4 linked regions of the Arabidopsis thaliana genome follow. The protein of the gene in region 3 binds, or shares a complex with, the protein of the main gene of each other region. Each region holds a gene or a part of one and is shown on either strand. Other genes may lie near its edges. The genes, in order: RANGAP2, XI-I, WIP1 and WIT1.

What was found.
Region 1: WIP1 (region 3) and RANGAP2 share a complex: the UniProt entries of both Arabidopsis thaliana proteins name them as parts of the ran complex.
Region 2: WIP1 (region 3) and XI-I share a complex: the UniProt entries of both Arabidopsis thaliana proteins name them as parts of the LINC complex.
Region 4: WIP1 (region 3) and WIT1 share a complex: the UniProt entries of both Arabidopsis thaliana proteins name them as parts of the ran complex.

What each region holds. Positions count from the first base shown.
Region 1 is NC_003076.8:6,504,181-6,509,781, reverse strand, and holds RANGAP2 (RAN GTPase activating protein 2), read left to right. Parts: upstream 1-2,136; 5' UTR 2,137-2,254; intron 2,255-2,343; exon of another isoform or gene 2,344-2,350; 5' UTR 2,351-2,490; intron 2,491-2,807; 5' UTR 2,808-2,834; coding exon 2,835-4,472; 3' UTR 4,473-4,690; downstream 4,691-5,601. Other genes in the region: ARIA (ARM repeat protein interacting with ABF2), read left to right, coding at 115-238, 363-502, 586-649, 731-810, 985-1,049, 1,169-1,286, 1,376-1,500, 1,588-1,687; AT5G19315 (Defensin-like (DEFL) family protein), read right to left, coding at 4,882-5,063, 5,184-5,244. UniProt on the Arabidopsis thaliana protein: GTPase activator for the nuclear Ras-related regulatory protein Ran, converting it to the putatively inactive GDP-bound state.
Region 2 is NC_003075.7:16,011,591-16,017,023, forward strand, and holds the start of XI-I (myosin), read right to left. Parts: upstream 3,380-5,433; 5' UTR 3,203-3,379; coding exon 3,059-3,202; intron 2,946-3,058; coding exon 2,799-2,945; intron 1,939-2,798; coding exon 1,793-1,938; intron 1,698-1,792; coding exon 1,541-1,697; intron 1,360-1,540; coding exon 1,301-1,359; intron 1,060-1,300; coding exon 903-1,059; intron 754-902; coding exon 604-753; intron 514-603; coding exon 377-513; intron 286-376; coding exon 139-285; intron 45-138; coding exon 1-44. Other genes in the region: SLOMO (F-box family protein), read right to left, coding at 4,381-4,467, 4,565-4,651, 4,758-4,821, 4,918-5,369. UniProt on the Arabidopsis thaliana protein: Myosin heavy chain that is required for the cell cycle-regulated transport of various organelles and proteins for their segregation.
Region 3 is NC_003075.7:13,363,730-13,368,640, forward strand, and holds WIP1 (WPP domain interacting protein 1), read left to right. Parts: upstream 1-1,553; 5' UTR 1,554-2,007; coding exon 2,008-2,890; intron 2,891-3,068; coding exon 3,069-3,655; 3' UTR 3,656-3,802; downstream 3,803-4,911. Other genes in the region: AT4G26450 (uncharacterized protein), read left to right, coding at 1-664, 745-898, 974-1,052, 1,136-1,191; LRE (lorelei), read right to left, coding at 3,916-4,280, 4,694-4,753, 4,828-4,900. UniProt on the Arabidopsis thaliana protein: Mediates and enhances the nuclear envelope docking of RANGAP proteins mediated by WIT1 and WIT2 in the undifferentiated cells of root tips.
Region 4 is NC_003076.8:3,631,753-3,637,677, reverse strand, and holds WIT1 (WPP domain-interacting protein 1), read right to left. Parts: upstream 4,030-5,925; 5' UTR 3,901-4,029; intron 3,720-3,900; 5' UTR 3,708-3,719; coding exon 3,110-3,707; intron 3,009-3,109; coding exon 1,819-3,008; intron 1,719-1,818; coding exon 1,539-1,718; intron 1,404-1,538; coding exon 1,260-1,403; 3' UTR 1,065-1,259; coding exon of another isoform or gene 754-1,064; 3' UTR 744-753; downstream 1-743. Other genes in the region: AT5G11400 (Protein kinase superfamily protein), read left to right, coding at 1-10, 113-251, 336-402, 556-665, 754-1,064; DXPS3 (1-deoxy-D-xylulose 5-phosphate synthase 3), read right to left, coding at 4,428-4,577, 4,656-4,940, 5,025-5,303, 5,393-5,649, 5,734-5,925. UniProt on the Arabidopsis thaliana protein: Together with WIT2, required for the nuclear envelope docking of RANGAP proteins in root tips.

The sequences.
Region 1 (5,601 bases), on a different chromosome or scaffold from region 3:
CCATCTTTGATGACTAAAACTGCTTTATCCTGGTTGAGTTTCTGAAGCTCTGTTGAAGTTTAGCATTTCTTTATTCAACCTTTGAGATTTCTGTGCTTTGATTTTCTTTTGTAGGTTCTGAGACATCTGTTGTACCTAATGCGCATTTCAGAGAAGTCTATCCAAAGACGAGTTGCTCTTGCCCTTGCTCATCTCTGTTCACCCGAGGATCAACGAACCATATTCATAGATGACAACGGCATGTGACAGTTTTTTTATATTTTCATGAGCTAAATGAGATGCATGCGTTATGTTTAATGCGTTAACCGTCCAGTTTAGATGTTCTTTGTCCAAAAAGTTAATATTGAGTTGTCTTTTGACAGGGTTGGAGTTGCTACTCGGTCTTCTTGGTTCTTTAAACACTAAGCAGCAACTTGACGGTGCAGCAGCGTTGTACAAATTAGCAAATAAATCTATGGCACTTTCTCCAGTTGATGCTGCTCCTCCTTCTCCAACACAAAGGGTGAGTTTCCTTTCTGCTTCAGTTCTCCTATAGGTAACGGGTGGAAGTCTCAATGCAGTATTCTGTATGTCTTTTTGTGACAGGTTTATCTCGGAGAGCAATATGTAAATAATGCTACGCTGTCTGATGTAACCTTTCTAGTCGAAGGTAATCATATATAAATCCAGAAGTTGTGGAACTCTAGTTAGCTTCAAAGTCCATATGTAAAACAGAAAAATCATACTGCAGGAAGGACATTCTATGCACACAGAATTTGTCTGCTGGCATCCTCAGATGCATTTCGTGCAATGTTTGATGGTGGTTACAGAGTAAGTGAACTAAATATTTTGGTTTTTCGATAATGTTCTTGTGGGGTAAATGATATTTTGATGACAATGACGTATGGATGTATGCTGGTCTGCTATTTATCAAAGGAATACAATTATCTTTTGGGGAAATTAGACCTGAATTGTGTCACGGTTTGTGTTTCGTTTATATCACAGGAAAAAGACGCTAGAGATATTGAGATTCCAAATATCAAATGGGAGGTGTTTGAGTTAATGATGAGGTATGATGAATGAACCTCTGCATGCTTTTGATTGACTCACTCGAGATATTGAAATTTCGAAAAGTCTGTGAGAACTTTTCATATACACGTAATTGACTCCCTTGGATTATGATTTTCAGGTTTATATACACTGGATCTGTCGACATAACAAATGAGATATCAAAAGATCTTCTAAGAGCAGCGGATCAGTATCTCTTGGAGGGCCTGAAACGACTCTGTGAATACACAATTGCTCAGGTGAGCCAGAATTATATCACAATGTAAAGTGATGATGTGGTTTGCGTAGTACTTAACGAAATCTGACACGGTTACTTTGAATATGAAAGGATATTACGTTGGAAAGTATAGGAGACATGTACGAGCTATCAGAAGCATTCCATGCGATGTCGCTGAGGCAAGCTTGTATCATGTTCATCCTGGAGCATTTCGATAAACTGAGTTCAATGCCTTGGTAATATAAACAAGATGTCACTCTCTCTCTCCACTAAGATTTGTTTTATTGCTATTAGTCTGAAACAAAAGTGAATGGAAAATGCAGGCAGAACGAGCTGGTGCAGAGAACAATACCAGAGATAAGAGAGTACTTTTGTAGAGCCCTAACAAAGTCTACTACAAACCTGCAAAGCTTGAGGTTGTAGAATGCGGAAGAAGAAGACTGCACTTAACTAGAGGTAAGTAGACAAGGAATTATATAGAGAGAAAGAGAGAGAGAGATCAAGAGCCGCCATTAGAGGTCTTTATCGTCCTGTACTGGGTTGTCTTAGTTATTTGCTGTGCTTTTTGGTTCGTTTTGGTCATTTTGTATTGTATTAATTAATCTCCTCTGATCACAATCGGTCTTGAATGAAATCGCTACCCTTTGTATCCAAAAATACCATTGTGGTATAACTTCCACTATTCAATTCAAAATCCACTCTCCAACTATCCTCTCTGTTGAGAAAAGATACTTTGGGTAGGTTGTGACTAAGCGTAGCTGTAACGATTTGATATTGGTAGTGGTGACCAGTGAGTTCATGTCTGAATAATTAAGAGATGATTCAACACAGAACATAATATCCCATTTTTGTTTTACAAATAAAGAATCAATCGAAAGTATTACTGATGATTAGAGACTGTAACTTGTAAGTATTTTGTAGCACAAGCCACTGAAAATTACATTACACATAAAGGAGTTTTCTTTAACATGAAAGATTCAAAATTACCAGGTTGGTTCTAATTAATTACGTTTTCTTCCAAAGTGATTAATTACTCAAGTCACGATGAATTATTAACCTTTCTCTTTTTTTTTTTTTTTAAATTAGTCTATAGAGACTTTTGGTTCAACGAACGTAGGAGGGAGTTTTAAAGAGCTCCGGTGAAGGAGAAACCCTAAAAACACACTCGATTTTGCAGCCAGAGAGAGTCTCAGAGCTCCGAGATTCAGACAATCTTCATCGGTCCGGTACGCTTTTCATTTCCGTTTATTCTCATCGCAAACGGATAATTATTTGTCTGATCCGATTTTACCCTGTGATTAAGCACCGATGTTCCTTCCTCGTAGTTGGTGATTTAATGCTTCTTCTCGAAACTATCCACTTATAGGATCTCCGATCTTTACGAGATTACTCTCCTTAATCTCTGTTATTGATTTAGTCACAGCATTTTCTGATTTATCAATTAGTTATTCCTTTGGGCTCAATGTTAATCCTCCTAAGTGATTAGTGATTACGATAGAGCCTCCTCTGATTATTTCTAACTTTTGTGTGTATGTTTTTGCAGTGATATTAAAACTCTGGATTTGCGATAATGGCTGATATACTTGATTCTCGACCTCATGCATTTTCGATTAAACTCTGGCCACCGAGTTTACCTACAAGAAAAGCTCTCATTGAGCGTATAACCAACAATTTTTCTTCCAAGACTATTTTCACTGAGAAGTACGGTAGCTTAACCAAAGACCAGGCTACGGAGAACGCTAAGAGGATCGAAGATATTGCTTTTTCCACTGCTAACCAACAGTTTGAGAGGGAGCCTGATGGTGATGGTGGTTCAGCTGTACAGCTTTATGCCAAAGAATGCAGTAAGCTTATCTTAGAAGTTCTCAAGAAAGGACCTGTTGCTAAAGTTGCGGCAAGAGAATTGATTTCTGAGGATTCTGTGTCTCCCCGCGAAACTTTTTTCGATATTTCTAAAGGTAAACGGGCTTTCATTGAGGCTGAGGAAGCTGAGGAGCTTCTCAAACCTTTGAAGGAACCTGGCAATGCCTACACTAAGATATGCTTTAGTAATAGGAGTTTTGGCTTGGGAGCTGCTCGTGTCGCTGAGCCTATCTTGGCGTCTTTGAAAGATCAGCTTAAGGAAGTTGACTTGTCTGACTTTGTTGCTGGACGACCTGAGCTTGAAGCTCTTGAGGTTATGAATATATTTTCTGACGCACTGCAAGGTAGTATTCTCTCGTCTCTCAACTTATCAGATAATGCATTGGGTGAGAAGGGTGTTAGAGCGTTTGGGGCACTCTTAAAATCTCTGAGCTCTTTGGAAGAGCTGTATTTGATGAATGATGGTATCTCTAAGGAAGCTGCGCAAGCGGTCTCCGAGTTGATTCCTTCAACAGAGAATTTGAGGGTCCTTCATTTTCATAATAACATGACGGGAGATGAAGGGGCACTCGCTATTGCAGAGGTTGTCAAGCGTTCCCCACTGCTGGAGAATTTCCGTTGTTCTTCCACAAGAGTCGGCTCAAAAGGGGGAATCGCCTTGTCAGAAGCACTTGAGCATTGTACTCATATGGAGAAACTTGATCTGCGGGATAATATGTTTGGCACAGAAGCCGGAGTTTCTTTGAGCAAAACTCTTTCAAGCTTCAAACACATGACTGAGCTTTACTTGAGTTATCTAAATCTAGAGGATGAAGGTGCCATAGCCATAGTAAACGCTCTAAAGGAGTCTGCTTCGCCCATTGAAGTTCTAGAGATGGCAGGAAATGACATAACAGTTGAAGCTGCTTCAGCTATCGCAGCCTGTGTTGCAGCAAAACAAGATCTGAACAAGTTGAATTTGTCTGAGAATGAGCTGAAAGATGAGGGATGTGTCCAGATTGCAAATTGTATAGAAGAGGGTCACTCAAAACTGCAATACATCGATATGAGCACCAACTACATAAGAAGAGCCGGAGCACGAGCCTTGGCTCATGTTGTTGTGAAGAAAGAAGCTTTCAAGCTGTTGAACATTGACGGGAACATCATATCAGAAGAAGGCATTGAAGAATTGAAAGAGATATTCAAGAAATCCCCAGAGTTACTTGGAGCTTTGGATGAGAATGATCCTGATGGAGAAGAAGATGATGATGATGAGGAAGACGAAGAAGATGAAGAGAACGAAGGTAATGGGAATGGTGAGCTGGAATCGAAGCTGAAGAACCTTGAAGTTAATCAGGAAGATTAAGTCTGTGATGTTGGTACTTTTCAATGTTTTTGTTTGTTTTGTACCAGTATTATTACTCTAGCTGCTGCTACAAAGACCAAAACATATTTGAGACATTGGTGTTAGTTTTATTTTTGCCGATAGCTTATTGGTCCTTTTTGTTTAAACACGATTGTATCGCTATTCTGAGGTCATACCTATGAGCAAAACAATTTTATATTCTATTTGGTTTGGTACCGTTTTGGTTTAGATACGATTTTAAACAAATTTTGTTAACTTGAAAAGTTTAAACTAACGTGAAAGAAGTTTTCAGGAGTGACCATTTCACATACTAAAGATATAATCAACAGTGAAGACAAGATTTTGAGTTTAATACTAGTTAGAATAAGCAATCGAGGATTGCAAACGCAAGCATAAAAACATATTTTTTTTAACAGTAACAATGGCATTTTTTTGCTCCACCAGCAAAACGTTTGCAAAAACCGCCTTTCTTATTATCACATCCATCAAGACACCATTTGTTGCATCTCTTTCTGTCTTGGTATGTGTTGCAAGCTCCAAATTTCGCATGTGTGTTACAGCACAACGAACTTCCGGATCCTTCAACGACATCTATAACATGCAAACAACAATTTTTCATCTTTAAGATTCACGTAAAGATCAAACAAAAACTTTTTATATAATACATCTTTGTATCCCCAAAAATATCAAAATTTATGGTGAGAGACTAACCAATAGAGAACAAAAGAACAAGTAGCATAGCAAAAGACATTATTTTCATGGTGGTGGTCATCTTCTTGATCCTCTTCTCCTCCCTATGAGCATAATTCTTTTTGGTGGAGTACTCTTTCATCTATTTATCCTATTTTGCCAACGTATTATAAATTTAGATACCTAATGCTATTTCCCGATTTAATGGATCAAATTTCCTTTTGTTTCACCGGTAATTATAGATCAGTTATCTTTTTCCAGATTCATGTTCATGTTGATCAAAACAATTCTTGTTATATATGTTGAGGGCAATCTAAACAGTCATTCTATTTGCAAAATCACCAATACTAGTATATTAGGGTATTTGATCCAAGTATTGTAAAACTAAACTTGCAAAGGTTGCTGTGATGATGGTAGAAAAGATTTGATGTCCATTTGT
Region 2 (5,433 bases), 2.6 Mb from region 3:
ATTCTGGATCTTGCCCAACAGACTTATTGATCTTATCAACCAGCCTGACAGAAGCATAAAACGAATAGTTCAAACATAAGTGTAGTACATCAACAAAACATCCATTAAATGAAAGGATTAAGAAAGTCGAAAGCAAACCAGTCAAATAGATGGGCGTAAACAGTCTTCGCGAGGGTATCCCGGCTAGTAACAGCAGCATTAGGGTCAAGTGCTTTGATAATGATACCTTCACGGGTCAGAATTGAACGTGTGCAGAGCGAAGCCAGCAAAAGATTTGCATCACACCTGATTAATTTTGCATGGATACAACAAAATAAACAAGCTATTTCTTCGTATGCATAATTAAAAATGAGTACTATCAGAAAATTTTATGTACTTGAAAAGATCAGCAGCCATCTGCAGATGATGTCTAGATTCCGGATCCTTTACCACTGAAGAGTCGTGCTCTCTCCCTGAGGAAAACTCAACATTTCCAAGATGTAGAATCGCAGCAAGTGTGCGAAATATCCCTTCCTGATAAATGATTTGTGCAGGAAACAAGCAAGGAATTTCAGAAGCTGGCAGAAGAAAAACATATGAAAATTCAATTAGAAGTCGTTATACCTGCTCATCCTGACTTATGCCCACAATATCCATTGCCCTCCTTGTATTCTTATACTCTTCTGCGCTGCTGACTCCTTCTAATTCATAGGTCTTGCTTTGATTTAGATAATGAAATTGACGAGGGTTGCTTAGTTTATATTTCTCAGCGTCCTAAGCAAAATAAGAACATTTACAGATTAGTAATTAGCGTAGGTAAATTGACAAACTCAGCGAGAAAAACCTGGCGTAGCTCAATCAGATAATAAGAAAACCAAAACCAATCTCTTATGACATGTATATAGAGCTGTAAAAAGAATTACATTCCCCGAAGCGCACAATTGATAAAAACAATGATAATTCCTCTCGGGGTCTGTTATCCGGACAACACGTGATCTCTCCAGAAGATAGGTTCTGATTGCGGCACCAGATATTCTACCATTTGTGTCAAACTGGATTTCGACAAACTTTCCAAAACGGCTGAACAGCAAAAGAAGATCAGTAGATTGGTCAGTAGATTCGTCTAAAAGCTAGGCACACAAAATTTCAACCAAAAGGTTTACTAAAACCATATCAACATCATAAAGTGCTGTTATCACTGGGTATTAAGGATACTATCATGAAAAATTTGTTGACAAATGACATAAGAGCAATTAAAGATACACCTCTCAATTTTCATTGAAAAAATAAACAGAAAGAAAAAAAAAAATCAATAACCCACCTGGAATTATCATTTCTAACTGTTTTTGCATTGCCAAATGCTTCCAAGAGAGGATTTGACTGCAGAACAAGAATACTTAAATTAGAATAGATAACTCGCAAATAAAGAAAGTCAAACATGATCACCCCTAAATATTTATCTGCAAACAAATACCAGGGGAGGAAAACAAAGGCATCTATCCAGTTCTTTTTTTCTCATTGAACAAGATAGAAGACACAAATTTTATAACCAAAATCTTACTTCAAGGACTTGCTGCTCAACACTTCTATCATCGTCAGTAGCACGTCCCCCAACAAATGTAAGATACTGCATGATTAGTTTGGTTGTCTCAGTTTTTCCAGCTCCACTTTCACCGCTAACAAGTATTGACTGACTTCGACTGTCGTCAATCATTGCTCTGGGTTATAAAGAATAACTATGGTTAATAGATTAACATGACTGATAGTAAGATTTTAAAAAATCAGAAACATTAGAGAAAAAAGAGTGGATCACCTGTATGCAACATCAGAAACTGCAAAAACATGAGGACTGAGCTCACCGAATGGTGCTCCCATGTACTGTTCCATCATGTGCCCATTGTAGAGATGTGGAAGCTTTTTGAATGGATTAACAGCGATCAGAATGCTTCCAGTGTATGTCTGAAAAAGAAGTCGAACGTATTTGTAAGAAGATAATGCAGTCATGAATGATTTACTATTGGAACTGCGTAAAAAGCTGACAGTTATGAGTGGCAAAAAGAATGATACAGGAATTATTACCACCAATACTTCCAACTAAATATTATCATCTCAATGGGGACATAAATAAATTAGACACCAAGCTGCCACCAAATGTTTTACAAAAGGGCAAGCCAGCTGAGTACAAAACTGTCTAAAAAATAGATACTTTCACCTACTAAATACGGAACAGAAGCTCTCCATAACTTTAGAAGGAATATTGAACCTACAAATAATTCACAGTCACAGGGCAGTCCAACAAACTAACAAAAAGTTGTTACGAATACACAAGGTTGATTATCCCGCTCCCGCCAATAATATTGTTAATATTGAAAAAAGCAATAGTTAGGGTTAGATCACAAGATGTTTGAAGTGCGATTAGATACCAAATAGGCAAGTAAATGCCTGTAATGATATATGCATTATGTCACAATAAATTTCTTCACTTCGATATCTATCTTTTTCGGCTAAATAATATATCAGGTCACATCTAGATGCATCCATCATAAAGAACCTGAATCCACTTCACATGGAAACATGTCTTACACCACATATTAATACACAAGAAACTCCAAAAGCAACAGTAACTCGTTCTAGAGGAAAACTCCGGCCAGTGAGTACACTAATACCACTACGAAAATGAGTAAACTTCCATACGGAATGAAATCCGACTCAATAAAGTACCCCCGGAAGTATAGAAACTAAAAATTCAAACTCCAAATATACTCAGAAAGACCTCTCAATAAACAATACCAAAGAAAAAAAGAGTGAAAAGAACTCACATAGATATCATTCAGAGCATATCTCCTCTGTAGATTATAAAGAACACCAGCTTCGTGCAAGTATGTCAGTTTGGTCATATCATCCACTCCATTATGCTCTTCATCGTCAGGATCCCTCCGAAATAGCTTTTCCGGGGAAACAAAAACCTAAAACCCCAGAAAAAAAATCGCACAACAGCAAAAATTAGCATGAATAAAGCATGAAGAAGAGGAAGAAGAAGAAACAGAGCTAATTCAGCAGAAATAACGGTTAATCAGACCTTCTTCCCAGTAGAAGTTTCAACATGGAGTTTGTTATCAAAAGAATCGAGGACATCAGCAGCAATCCAAGCCAAATCCTTATCTTCGACCCAAACCTTGTCGCCCTTGCGCAGATTCAATTCCATTGGAAGACAATTTCTCATGAACTCGTGAAGAGCTCGACGAGAAAACCCTAGAGAATTAGATTGGGGGAAGCAAGAGTCATAGAGAGAGAAAGAGAGTCCGTGAGGTTGCGCCAGAGAATTTTTCAAATTTCAAAATGAAGAAGAATTGAGAAACCCTAAGGAGATAGAGAGAGAAGGGGCGAAATTTTACTACTGTGGAGTTTTTTTTTTTTAAAGGTTCAAAGTTACTTAAACCGCTACCCAAAAAAGTTCCCAAAAGCAACAAAAAAAAAAAAGAGCATCAACAACAACAATTACTTCCCGCCCTCTCGGATTTTGCATTAAAAAACAAAAGAAGACTAGATCCAAAACAAAAACACAGAAGTTTTTAGGGATAAAAATTTACGTCACATTCCGGAGTAAATGCCAAGTTTATTATCTTTGATTCGAATCATTTATAGGGTTTAATCCTTACTCGCAAAATTGATTTCACATTAGTAAAACAAACTGTGTAGTTAATTTACTGACGCTAAAAACTTGTTATTTTTAGTAATTTAGCAAATTAAAAATAGTAAGTCAAAAATGTAGAAGGCAATATTTGAATATAACATTCTTAAACGATAGTTAGTGAGGTTTATTTATATTTATTATAATTACTAGATCTCTTTTATAGAGAAAATATTCCAAAATTTGTTGTCGATTATTGTTGTTGTAATTTCATATATGGTGATGAGAGTCCAAATAAGAGTTTGGGGGAAGAAGAAGTCCAAATTATTATCATCCAATACGCATGAGTCCAAATTTACATTCCAGATTTCTTCCTTCATTCATATTTTAGACTTTAGTTTCCAAAAAATATACTAAATTTTTCTTACCCCCTACTTATTCCAAAAGTTTTATTTAATTTTTATCTTTGTTATGTGAGTCAATGTGGATCAAAGCTTAAAAGGTAAATTGATAAGGTAAATATAAGATCTACATATAACAGTAGCAACAATATCATCAACCACGTACACAAAAAAAGTACTAATGTTGTTTAGGTTTGTGTCATCACACAAGCATCCTAAGAAGGCCACAGTACAAACTCCAGAGGCCTATATGCACTACTGAAACTTATGACTTGGAGCCATTTACAACCCAAACACCACACCACACAACACATTATTTCTATAATCTGCAGAAAAAGTTGTATATAATCAAACATTTGGCGCAAAACCCTAATCTTGCAAGAGATTTGGACTGCTGAAAACGCGTTTCAAACTAGGGCACACTGTTCGGAACTTTGACATGCTCACCGAGGATATCTGTTAATTCACCAAGACAAGGTTTTAATTGTTACATAAAAATGGATTACTTGCTAAGTTTTCAATATCGAAGTTAACACTCGTTTATTGTTAGTACCTTTGGACAGAAACGAAGATCCAATGTCTCGAGTGAGCTGCATCCTGATATAGCCGCTTCAACTCCTGCTTCGTCCATGTTACAAGACTACCAAAGACAAAAGGTACCAAAGTGTGTTTAGTGGTAACATATAGACCCAAGCTTAAGGTACCAAAGTGTGTTTAGTGGTAAAAGTTACGGAGCAAAAACATACCTGAAGAAAGAGACTAGCTAATCTTGGACAGCCGAGCTTCAATACTTCCAGAGAGCAACAGTTGCTAGACAATTCGAAATGGAATTAGCAATAGAATAAGACCACTCATTTCATGGAAGATAAAGAATATAAGTTATCTAGCAAATGCAAAAGCTCAAACCTTAAATTAAGTAAAACCAGGTTGGAACAGGTGAGATCAACCTCCTTCAGATTGACCGATAACGAAAGGTTCAGTGTTGATAAATGGTAAAAGCGAGCTGCAGGTGGTATCAGCACTTTTCTAATATTGGGGCAACCCACACAGTTTAGGTTTTGCAGTAACCGATTGGCTGTTTCAGCTGGTTCCTGGGTATTGTCACTAGAACTGTAGACCCCAAAGTAATCAAAAAGATGTACACTGGTTGAACCCCAATCCAGGTCATGCATGTTTACACATCCGTTCAAGCTCAAATGGGTCAAGTGTGTGCAGCACGCAAGTAGATCATCTATCGCAGTCTGACAGAGAGTTCCATATGACAGGTCCAACTCCTCAAGTGCCGGTAAAGCACCTTCTTTGTATAGAGGCTCCAATGATGAGTCAGTAAGATACTTACAGGCTTGTAATTTGAGTACCTAAACAATAAAAAGTCTCAAAGTAAGCCCAAAAGCAATATGAATCATGAATAGCTGATATACA
Region 3 (4,911 bases):
AAGTTGAAGATTTTGCTCTTGTTCAATATATTGAGAACAGTAAATGTCATAGGTCTAATTCTTTTCCCAGTAGCATTCTCAGGGATAACAGTGAGAAAGAATCAGGATTAGAATTGCCTAATCTGCACAGATCACATTCGGTGGGGAAAGTAGGTGAGAAAAGGCCTGGTGAAGGCAGTGACTTGGAGGAGGGATCAAAAAGACAGAGAGATTGGGTGGCAGTTTCTGAAGCTAATGAACGCTTCAACATGTTTAAAACAAGCGGAAACCAATGCGATCCGGAAGAAGAAGGAAAGACAAGCTCGTTCAACAAAAGACTGATTGACGGTGCTGCTGGAAAAAGGGTCAGCCATGAAAGTCTGGTTAATAACTCTACATACAATAGGACACACACTGGCAGAACAGGTCCAGGGTATGCTGAAGAACATCAGCTGTTTCCTGCTTCGTTTAAGATGTGTGACCTAAATCTAGGGGGAGCGTCGGATGTGAATGATGGGATAAAGGAATCTCGTCAAGCTGTTGATTTTGATCTCTCAATCAGCAGTTCTAGTAAGTCTCTCGAGTTTGGTACGAGTACTCGGATGAGCAATGGTAAAGAGATAGAAGTGATTAATTTGGATGATGATCAAGAAGTGGTAAAGTCCAGCAATGATCCAGGAAGAAAGTACGGCCAAGTCCTACTCTTAACACTTATATATACACACACCTATTACATTTTGGCTAATGGGTTTTCATATCTAACAGGCAAGAAGCTGCTCCATATATGGGCATCGATGACGTCCCAGACTACAATGAAAGACTCATGATGGTAGAGTATCTTGATTCCTTTACTCCAATAAACCAGGGAACCAGTAGTGTCCCACAGAATAACAACACAGTTAGCCTTCAAGACCGAGAGGTACCTACTCTACTTGTCAAGTTTTATGTCACATAGAATGTTTGTTGTTGCTAACAGATCCTGAAAACGTCTCAGGGAGCTATTGGAAATGACCAAGTACCAAATAATACAGACGATGATTCGATCTTCATGTCACTCGGAGAAATACCATTGAGTAAGACCAATATCAAATTCTTTCTCTTTTCTATTTTAGCTTCTTAAAGAGCTGAGATTCATTATGTCTTTGCAATTGTGCAGCATTCTTGCAAGCTTGGGACCAACCTCCAGCTCGAGGCTACGAGAAGCCTTTCTGATTCTCTTTTTTTTTGTTATGTTTCTTCAGTCTGTGTAATGAGTGTGTAGTAGCCCAATTTCGTTTGTGCTAATCTCAATCCTCTCAGATGATGTAAGAATGTGACTTGTGGTGTTTTATGGTTGTATGTACCCTTTGTAATTCTCTGTTTATTCTCACACTGTCCCCATGTTTTAGGTCAGTTCAACAATTTTCTGAAATTGTAATAACCAAAATGATAATTATTAACGGTATATATATGTCGTGTCCAATCTCACGGTCAAAAATGAAGAAGGTGATGCTGAGAGGTCAGGCGATTCCGACACGTGTTATATTCCAACCACCCACACGTAATTTTCAAAAAGGAACAAAATTGATCATGAGGGAAAAAAGAATAAACTTTTTCCCACAAAGAAACTTTCCACATTGAACGAGAGAATTATAGATCTGCGAATCCGATCATTGGATTAGGGTTTTCACTTTTCACCCTCCTTTTTCCATCTCTCTGCTGTATACCCTTCCTTTCTCCAAAAAGACCAAAACTTTGCGATTCAATTCGAAATCTGTGTTCTTCCATTGAGCTGGATTTTCATTTTTGGAATCATTTCTTCTCTTCTTTGATCCGATAGATGGTGGCATGGTAGGAAATTTTAGACCTTTATATTTCTATTTAACCGTCAAGGAACCAATGAATTTGTATAGCTTGTTGAGTTGACTTTTTGATTGTGTATGATCGAATTTGGGATCCTCATTTCGGGTTTTGGGTTATTGATCTGAGCTCCTGTTACTTCTGAAACCGATGTGAATTTGGTGGGGGATAGATTTTTTTGTGGAGTCAATGGATTTGGAGAGTGAAAGCTCTGCACTTGAGTCTGTTGATGATAATGTTTTGATTCAACAAAGTGCCAGCAACGTTTGTGATGATGGTAGGAGTTTGGATAACGGGTCTTGCTCTGATGAGAGTGTGAAACTGCTTTCGACTTCTAATTCTGTTGAACTCGGTAAACCTATGAGTTTTGATTCACCAGGTGATGGTGGTGGTGCTTATTCTCCGGTTTTGAAAGGACAAGGCTTGAGAAAATGGAGGAGGATTAGGAGAGATCTTGTTAAGGACACGTCTGCGAATATGGAGAATAGTAAAGCTCTGAAGAGAGGGTTGTCAGGTGTTGCTCATTCACATGGTAAACAGATGCAGTTTCAGTCACCGGAAGTTGAACAAGAGAGTCAGGGATCTGTTGGGTCTGTTAATATGTTGAAAAGTAGCGGTGATGGTTTTGATATACTTGGGAGTAGTGGTTACGATTCTAGGTTTGTGGCAGGGGTTGGTTTTTCAGCTGGTATGGATTTAGAGATAGATGATGATCGGAGTAGTAAGTCTTCCACGGTTGCAAGAGCTCCCAAGGTTATTAGGTATGAGAAGCCAATGATTAGTTCAGGTCAGGGAGGAAACATTCGTGTAGAGAATAGTAAGAAACATAGAGGAGAAAGTGTCGATTTCGAGAAGGAAAACTCTTATTCCAGCTTGGAATCTGACTCAAGAAAGCAGAGTGGAAGAATGATGGACTACAATGGTGAAAATGGGGAAACGTCAATGAGAAAAGATGATGCGGGAGGAGAAGGCGGAGAGTCGATAAACACGGACAATCGTTACTCAGATGAAATGGATCCATTAACAGAGGCCATCAACGGTTTCTTGGCCTTGCAAGATGCTCTTGAAAAAGGTAGCCATTCTGATTATTTTTTTGCTGCGGATTGTATCTAAACTTGCATTATTTTTACTGCTGTTACATAACTATTTCTTGTTATGAGCCTGCATTATCATGTTGGAATCAACTAATAACATCACATGAACAATGATTATGATGTTTAATGTGACTCTTTATGAAATTTCATTTGCAGAGGTTCAGCAATTCCAGGAGATCGGGAATGAACCAATGCCACAGCATCATGAACAAGTCAGCGAAGCAAATTCACCTCACCCCGAGATTGTAACCCTGGTAAACAATGTTGAACAACTGGAGAACATGCTAGAAGAAACAAGGTCCATGCTTGAGGTGAAAGAATCACACATCCGTGACCTTGAATCCACCACGAACCAAAGCAAACACTCGTGGGGAGGAACAGAGATTGTGGTTGAAGACATCTTCCGGCAGAAGATTGAGGCCGAGATTGAATATCTGATATATTCAAGATCTATCGATAACTTAAACAGTCAGATGAAGTTAATTGATGAACAAGAGTCATTGGCAGAAGAGCAAACCCATGAGACGCTGAATAAGCTAGGAAGAGTACAAACGAAGGCTGCAAATTTTACAAACAGAGCTCAAGACCTGCAAAACGATTGCATAGAAATCACCGGGACCATCAAGAAGAGAGCATGTAAGATCACTTCATACGTTCTTATACAGTTAGTATTGCTGTCAACAGTAGTTTTGTTGCTCCTGTCTCAATTGTTGCCGGAGCCAGATACTGTTGTACCCACATGACTTTTGATTTTTGATGTAAACTGAGTTTTGTTTTGGCTTTTGGCTTTTCTTGTTAACAATTCGGCTATAAGTTTTGCCTCTGGTAATAAAATTAATCAAGTAAGTCTCGCTTCTTCTTTTGTTTATTTTGGAGGTCAAGTATTCTTTACACTTGGACACTTGGTCAGTAACAGAACAATTTGATAATTCTATCTAGTTTGTTAGCTAATATGGTATCAAAATGTAATCACTCTTTGGCTCTTTCAATTTCCTTTGATTGATCAAGTCAACACTAACAAAGCAAAAACAGCGGTTGCAGCAGAGATCAACAGCGAGATAAAACGAGGAGTCGAATCAGCAGTTGAGGCGTTTAGGTTATGTGAATAGAGAGGTGGTAAAGGGCAAACAAGCCCATCTTTCCTTTCTCTGCACTCGTTAGCGAAAAGGCCAGTAGGGTAGTTTCCATAAATATTCATGTAGCTGAACATTGTCTGTGCACAATCACTATTCATGTCGTTGATCTGACTCACGTAAGGACATGCAAATTCTTTAAAAGCAGAGCAACATTCTTTGGCTGGAAACGCTGGACCTTTGCACCTCTTTGTCAAGACCTTGTAGTCCATATACTCAAAGTTCACTTCACATTCTGTTTCCAACCAAACAAAAAACAAGAGTTAGTGTCACACCACTTATATATACTTATCTATACACAAACTTGATACACTGATCCAATAATACAAATATTATATAAGAACACTAATGATACAATTTGATTTTAAATTAAAACCAAAGATGAAAAAGTTCTGAAACATAACCGAAATCTATAAATTAAACATCTCTAGCTTATAGACAGGACCAAAATTCATGTAAGAGTACAAATGTTCCTAGTTCCGACGTTACGTCATAATCCTCACCATACCAAGCTATATATCAATATATCATACATATCATAAATATGTACATGAGTCTATATTCACACATTGACGTAAACATAAAATGAAAAGCAGAAGTAAATTAACAAATCGGATTAACAAATTAAAAGGATGAGGATGCTTTTACTTTTCTTGGCATGACGAAGGTTCCTTCCACTAACCGAGGTTTGTGATTCAAACACACCATCTACAGAAAGCGACGACCCATTAGAAACAAATTAAAGATGGAGGGTGGAGAAGGAAGACAACAAAAAGACATACCCGATATGGAACTTGAAGAGGAGAGAGATACCAACAGTGCCATCAGAAAGAAGAATAATAATATCAGCTCCATGAAATTGTTGT
Region 4 (5,925 bases), on a different chromosome or scaffold from region 3:
AGACTGGATGGTAAGCAAAGTCTGTTCATTTTTACGCAATATTGATACCTATCTCTTATTCCTTGTTAGTCTTGTGTACTTATCTGATGGGTACAAAAACTATGAGTTGCAGGCAGTAGTGAGGTCTCTTGGACAGTTGTCTCATCAGAATTTGGTCAATTTCTTGGGTTACTGTTGTGAAGACAACAAACCATTCTTCTTGGTATTTGAATACTCGCACAAAGGAAGTTTGGACAGTCACATTTTCGGAAGTTAAGATCTTTTCTAGCTAATGGGTCCATTCTAAGATATAGACAACTATTGCATTACCTATAGTTTTACGTTTCCCTCAACAGAAGAAGAAGAGGCATTGCCATGGGAAATACGGGTTAAGATAGCCATTGGAACAGCTCAAGGTCTCGCGTTTCTTCACTCGATCAAGAACAGCCCCCTAAACCGAGAACTCAGGATGCATAACATTATGCTTGACGAGGTGGTAATTGTTTTATTTCCATCCTTCTTCTCTCTTTTTGTTTATGATCTTAGAAATTAATATCTAAGTTTGGATTTCATCAGCAATACAATGCAAAAACTGTTCTATCTCGAACCAACCAAACGAAGCTTGGTAGATGAAGGTCTCAAGAGGGGAAGATTTACATACCTATCTCCTGAATGGGGATCGTTAGGTACACGAAAGCATTAACTTTCGTTTTACAAATTCTGAAAAATCTTTCGTTGTTCAACGTTAAGACAATTGTGTAATGTATGTGTTAGGTATTTTGGATATGACGACCGATGTTTACATTTTTGGTATGATCTTGCTTGAACTTTTAATGGGTTCCAAGGATAGAAAAAAGATTAAGGAAGAGCAAGGCTTAGTAGATTACTGGACCTCATCTTTCTTGCCAGATAATTATAAGATTGAGGAAATAATCGATCCCCGACTTGGGAGCGATTATTCTGCGAATGCGGCGACACAGATGGGCACACTCATCAACCGATGCACAGCGCATAATACAAAGAAACGGCCATTGATGCAACAAGTATTGGATGGTCTTAATCATATTGCAGAGATTAAGGACTAATGTGTAGAGAGGTACTAATACTTGACACTGAAAAAGATATTGTAATAACACAAAATACCAGTGTCGGGGTTAATTATATAGCAGATTTTCTGTAACTGGGTAGCCAAAAAGAACTAAAATATAATCTGTCATTGTAAACTATGACAAAGAGAGTACAAAACTGGAGACTGAGATTTTGGAAAAAGTTAAAGACTCTTACATGTTTTGCTGGGATATAACATAAGCTATCGACGATATTAAGATCACGAGTATTGCAACGAGAATGTGTTTGAACCTAAGAGCTCCAACATCTAATCTCCTTACACTTCCAATATCTGATTTTGAACCTGTTTCTTCCTCCTACAAAAAGGTGACCACGGTTACTAACGTCAAGCTTAGATTCATAATATTCGATTGTTGGACTAAAGCTTAATGGTATAACTCACTTAGATGCCAGCAAAAGATCAGATTTTTTGTAAGGTAGAATTATGTTACCTCTGGATTAGTTAATGAAATGAAGGTGGCTTGAAGTCTACTTCCTTGATGGCAAGAAGAAGCATTCTGGTCCGACTTTGGTGAAACTTCACTTCCATTGCCACTTTCCATATAACCAGTTTTTCCAACCTTTTTCAACTTCACCATCAACACACAATTCTCTCTTGACAGGTTAGTTATCTGCAAATAAGTCACTATATCTAAGAATCCACTGTGATGATGATGAAGCTACAAGGACATGAACTAACAGCGAACTGGGGTTTTACGAATATGGTAATACCTGTTTATGAAGTCGTTCTCGTTCAGCAGCTAGTTGCATGACCAGTTTTTTCATGATCTTGTTATGTACCCCGATATCTTTGGCGGTTCGCAATTTTCTTTCTTCTGCTTGCTGTAAATATTTCTCCCCTTCTTTCAATCTACCCTTAAAGAATTTCAGTTCTTCGTTGACCTCTGCGTTAGACTCAGATACCATGATCAACTTCTCTTCGGTAATGTCGGCCCTGTTTTCAGCCTTCAAAACTTTTGATTTTAGATCCTCGATCACATCCTCCATATCAGAAACAGTAGAATATAACAAGTTCTGCTTTTCTTTACTTGCTTCAACAGCTGCAACTGCATGTTCTAGTTGTAGATCTGAGTCCCTCAAGTGTTTCTCAAGCGATGCTAACTTATGTATAGTGAAGCCCTTGTCTCTGAAATTCCCCAACTCGTCTTGAAGCTCCTTTTTGCTTTCTTCTAGGATTTTGCACTTGGATTCTGTTTCCTCAGCCCTTGCTTCAGTTTTGGCTAATTTATCTTTCAGTTCCTCGTTGATACGTTCAAGATCTGTTATCAGAGCACCAGAAGTAGCATCCGCATCTTCTGTTTGAATCCCATATTCATTCAGTTGTTCTTCAAGGGAGCTAACTTTCTCACTTAATGTGGAATTCTCAGTGTTCAACAAAATCAATTTTTCTTCAGCCTCTTGCAAACTCTCTTTTAAGCCTTCTGTTTGTGCCACAAGAAAGTCAGCAAGTCTTGCATTGCTGCTATCAAGCTTGTGCAAGGCGCATTCCTTAGCTTCTAAACGTTCCTTTGAATCAACAAGCTTAGACTTCAAGTTGTCTTCCCGCTTAAAAGAGCCACTTAGATTGAACTGAAGAATCTGGAGTTTTCCAGACATCTCCTTTGACGTTCCCTTAAAGACTTCAGCAGCATTATCTGCCTCAAGCCACCTGGAGAACGCATCTTCGGTTACTTCTTCCATGTAGACAACATCCTGCTCAGAAGAATACAGTTTCATCTCTAGTTCTCGTTCAGTATTTCTTGATTCACTTAGTTTCTTCTCAAGTTCCATCTCCTTAGCCAAAGATTTCTCAAGCATCCTTAAAACATTCCTTTGCTGATCAGCAGTCTGCATATTGATCTTAGCGCTCAGATCACCAAACTCACCATCGTTTTGAGACACTGAAGTTTGCCCTCCAGACCCTGCAAAAACAAAGTTATATAGTATTCATTAAAGCCTGAAATTTTTCTCACCAAGTGATCATCACAACAAGGTTAAAAAGAAAGCTAGATTGGTCACTTACAGCTTCCTTGTTCATCCAAACCAGAAGATAACCTCTGAAAGTTAGAAGATTGCTTCTTCATTTCCACTACTTGTTCCATTAACTGACCCAAAGATTGTTCAGTATCATTCAACTTCCCTTCCAAATCCAAGAAAGCTTCTCCATCATGTTGAAACGGAGATATCATGACACGGGCGCTTTGAATCTCGTTCTGGAGAAAACCAAGAAGCGATTCAAGTTCTTTCACCTCTGAATTGAGAATTGAAGACAAGAGATCAAACTCCAATGCCTTCTCAGCAGAATCATCATCATCATCAACATTACTCGAAGGCTCTTCTTCATCTTCTTCTTTCTTAGAAACAAAAGACTCAAAATCATTTTCCCTCGTGCCGAGTTGCATAGTAAGAAGACTAAGATTGACCAATTTCTCAGAGACAAAAGCAAAATCCAATTCAACTTTTGTCAAAACTTCGCCTGCACTTGAAAGTTGAGGATTCATAACTTGCCCAGTAAGCGAGAGATCTTCAAAAAAGCTTTCTTTCGTTGAGCTTGGCTCAGGTACAAGGCTGTCGTTGTCATCGACAGAGACAGTTCTATCATGTTCCGTTTCTGTTTCCATCTTTCAATATAACTGCAACAGAGAAAGTATAATCACTTTTGTCAAGTAATTGAATTAAGAGATCGGAAACAATAGAGGTTCTGCTAAATCACAAGAACTTTTCGATTCCTGAGGAAATCTAGGTAAAAGTTCCGATTTTTTACTTGATTCCGATCGAGATTGAAGCAAAATGAATGAAAAGGAGAAAACTTACAGTTAGAAACGAACGACACGACGATTAAGATCAAAGACGCTTCCTTTAGAAGGAAATGATCGAGAGATACAGAGATCGAGAAGAAGAAGAAGAAGAAGGACTCGGATTTGTAATTAAACGAATATTGTTTGACAGTAACTCTTTACTAATTTTTTAAGATGCTTTTATTAAAAAAAAACTCGAGTATCGAAAATACACGTCTCTGTTCTATATTTTGTTTGTTTCCAGATTTGGGACATGCGACTGTTACACCAAATAGACTTGACAACAACAACAACAACAACAACAACAACAACAACAACAACAACAACTAACTGAGAATATGAAAACTGAGATACCGCCTAAAAAGTAATTGAATTTATTTTAGTCAATTCTCAACTCTACATTTACAATACATAGCAGATTGCTATTCCAAAATCAGGATATCAAATGGGCTCTTGAATTCAGAATGTATTATCTACAAATTCTGTTTAAGAAACTCCTCTTTAAGTCTCTTGTGAAGGTAAATCCCATATGAGAAGGTTAAGCTAGCTCATGAGAAGCAATGCTTCACGAGTTCGGCCCAAAAGACTCAAAGCGGTTGCTGCTATGTGATGTCCAGTTAGCCCTGCAAGAGCAAGCTGCTCCCTAGGCGATGCTTCTTCTATGTAGCCATCCGGTAACACAATGGGTCTCCACTACACAATGTTAAGAGCAAAATTACAACTTAAAACCAAAAACAGGTGAGAACATGAGGTTTTGATTTGTCTCTCTACCTTGATATTCCCATCGAGCTGGCCATCGAGGGCTATGAACTGCGCCACATGAGAACCAAACCCTCCAACACAGCCTTCTTCGACAGTGATAAGGAATTTGTGGTTCTGACAAAGATCACGCACAAGCTTGATGTCTAGGGGTTTGCAAAATCTTGCATCAGCTACAGTCACGTTCAAACCGAGTTTCGAGAGAAGCGAGTGAGCATGAAGACAATTCTGAACCATCGCTCCATAACCAAGTAAAGCCACATCTTGACCTTCTACGAGAACTCTTCCTCTTCCGATCTACTCTAATATGATAAAGCAGTTCTTGTGTCACCACGGTCTGTTTTTGCAACCAAAAGATTTGAAGATTAGATTGGAACTTACTTCAATTGGTAATCCAGTGGGGACAAGATAATTCATGTTGACGATGGAGCCTCTAGGGAACCGGAAACATACTGGGCGGTCAGTGACATAAGCAGCAGTTGCAACCATATTTACAAGCTCATCCTCATCGGCTGGAGCCATGGCTATCATGTTTGGTAAGGATGACATGAAAGCTATGTCAAAAGCTCCACACTGCACTGGACCATCGGATCCAACAAGCCCTGCGCTTGTAATAACAAATCGCACCGCCTTTCTCTGCCGATCTACATCATGGACCACCTAAAGAAACCATCAAAGACACTAAGGCCATTTGCTTGTAATAAAAACCTTTTAGAACAATTTTATTTTGTGCTAGAGGAAAGTGAAACCTGGTCATAAGCTCTTTGTAAAAAAGCAGAGGGAATAATACAAAATGGCTTGAGACCTCCAGAAGAAAGACCAGCAGAGAATGTGACAGCATGCTGTTCAGCCATTCCGACATTGAAAAATCTGTCTGGAAATCTCTCCTGAAATGTAAGAAGTGACGGATCCATCTCCATTCCTGCATGAACTACAACAATATCTCTATCCTTTTCTGCCTCCATCACCAAAGCCTCAACAAAGCAATCACTGTAAGTGCGTCTGTCTGAGACAAAAAAAAAAACTACAAAGTCAAGATTTTGGATAAGCATATATTCTCAGAAAAAATAACATAACCAGACAGATATACCTTTGACCATGATGTTCTTTACGGTTTCTGCATCTCGGTTTCCCTCTGTGATCACGTGGACCAACACAGGACCCATTGAATCTAGAGAAGATACTTCTCGGAGAACACAAACTAGATCTTCAATGTTGTGTCCATCAACAGGACCAATGTAGTACAAACCAAGTTCTTCAAAGAGAGTTGATCCTGTTGGTC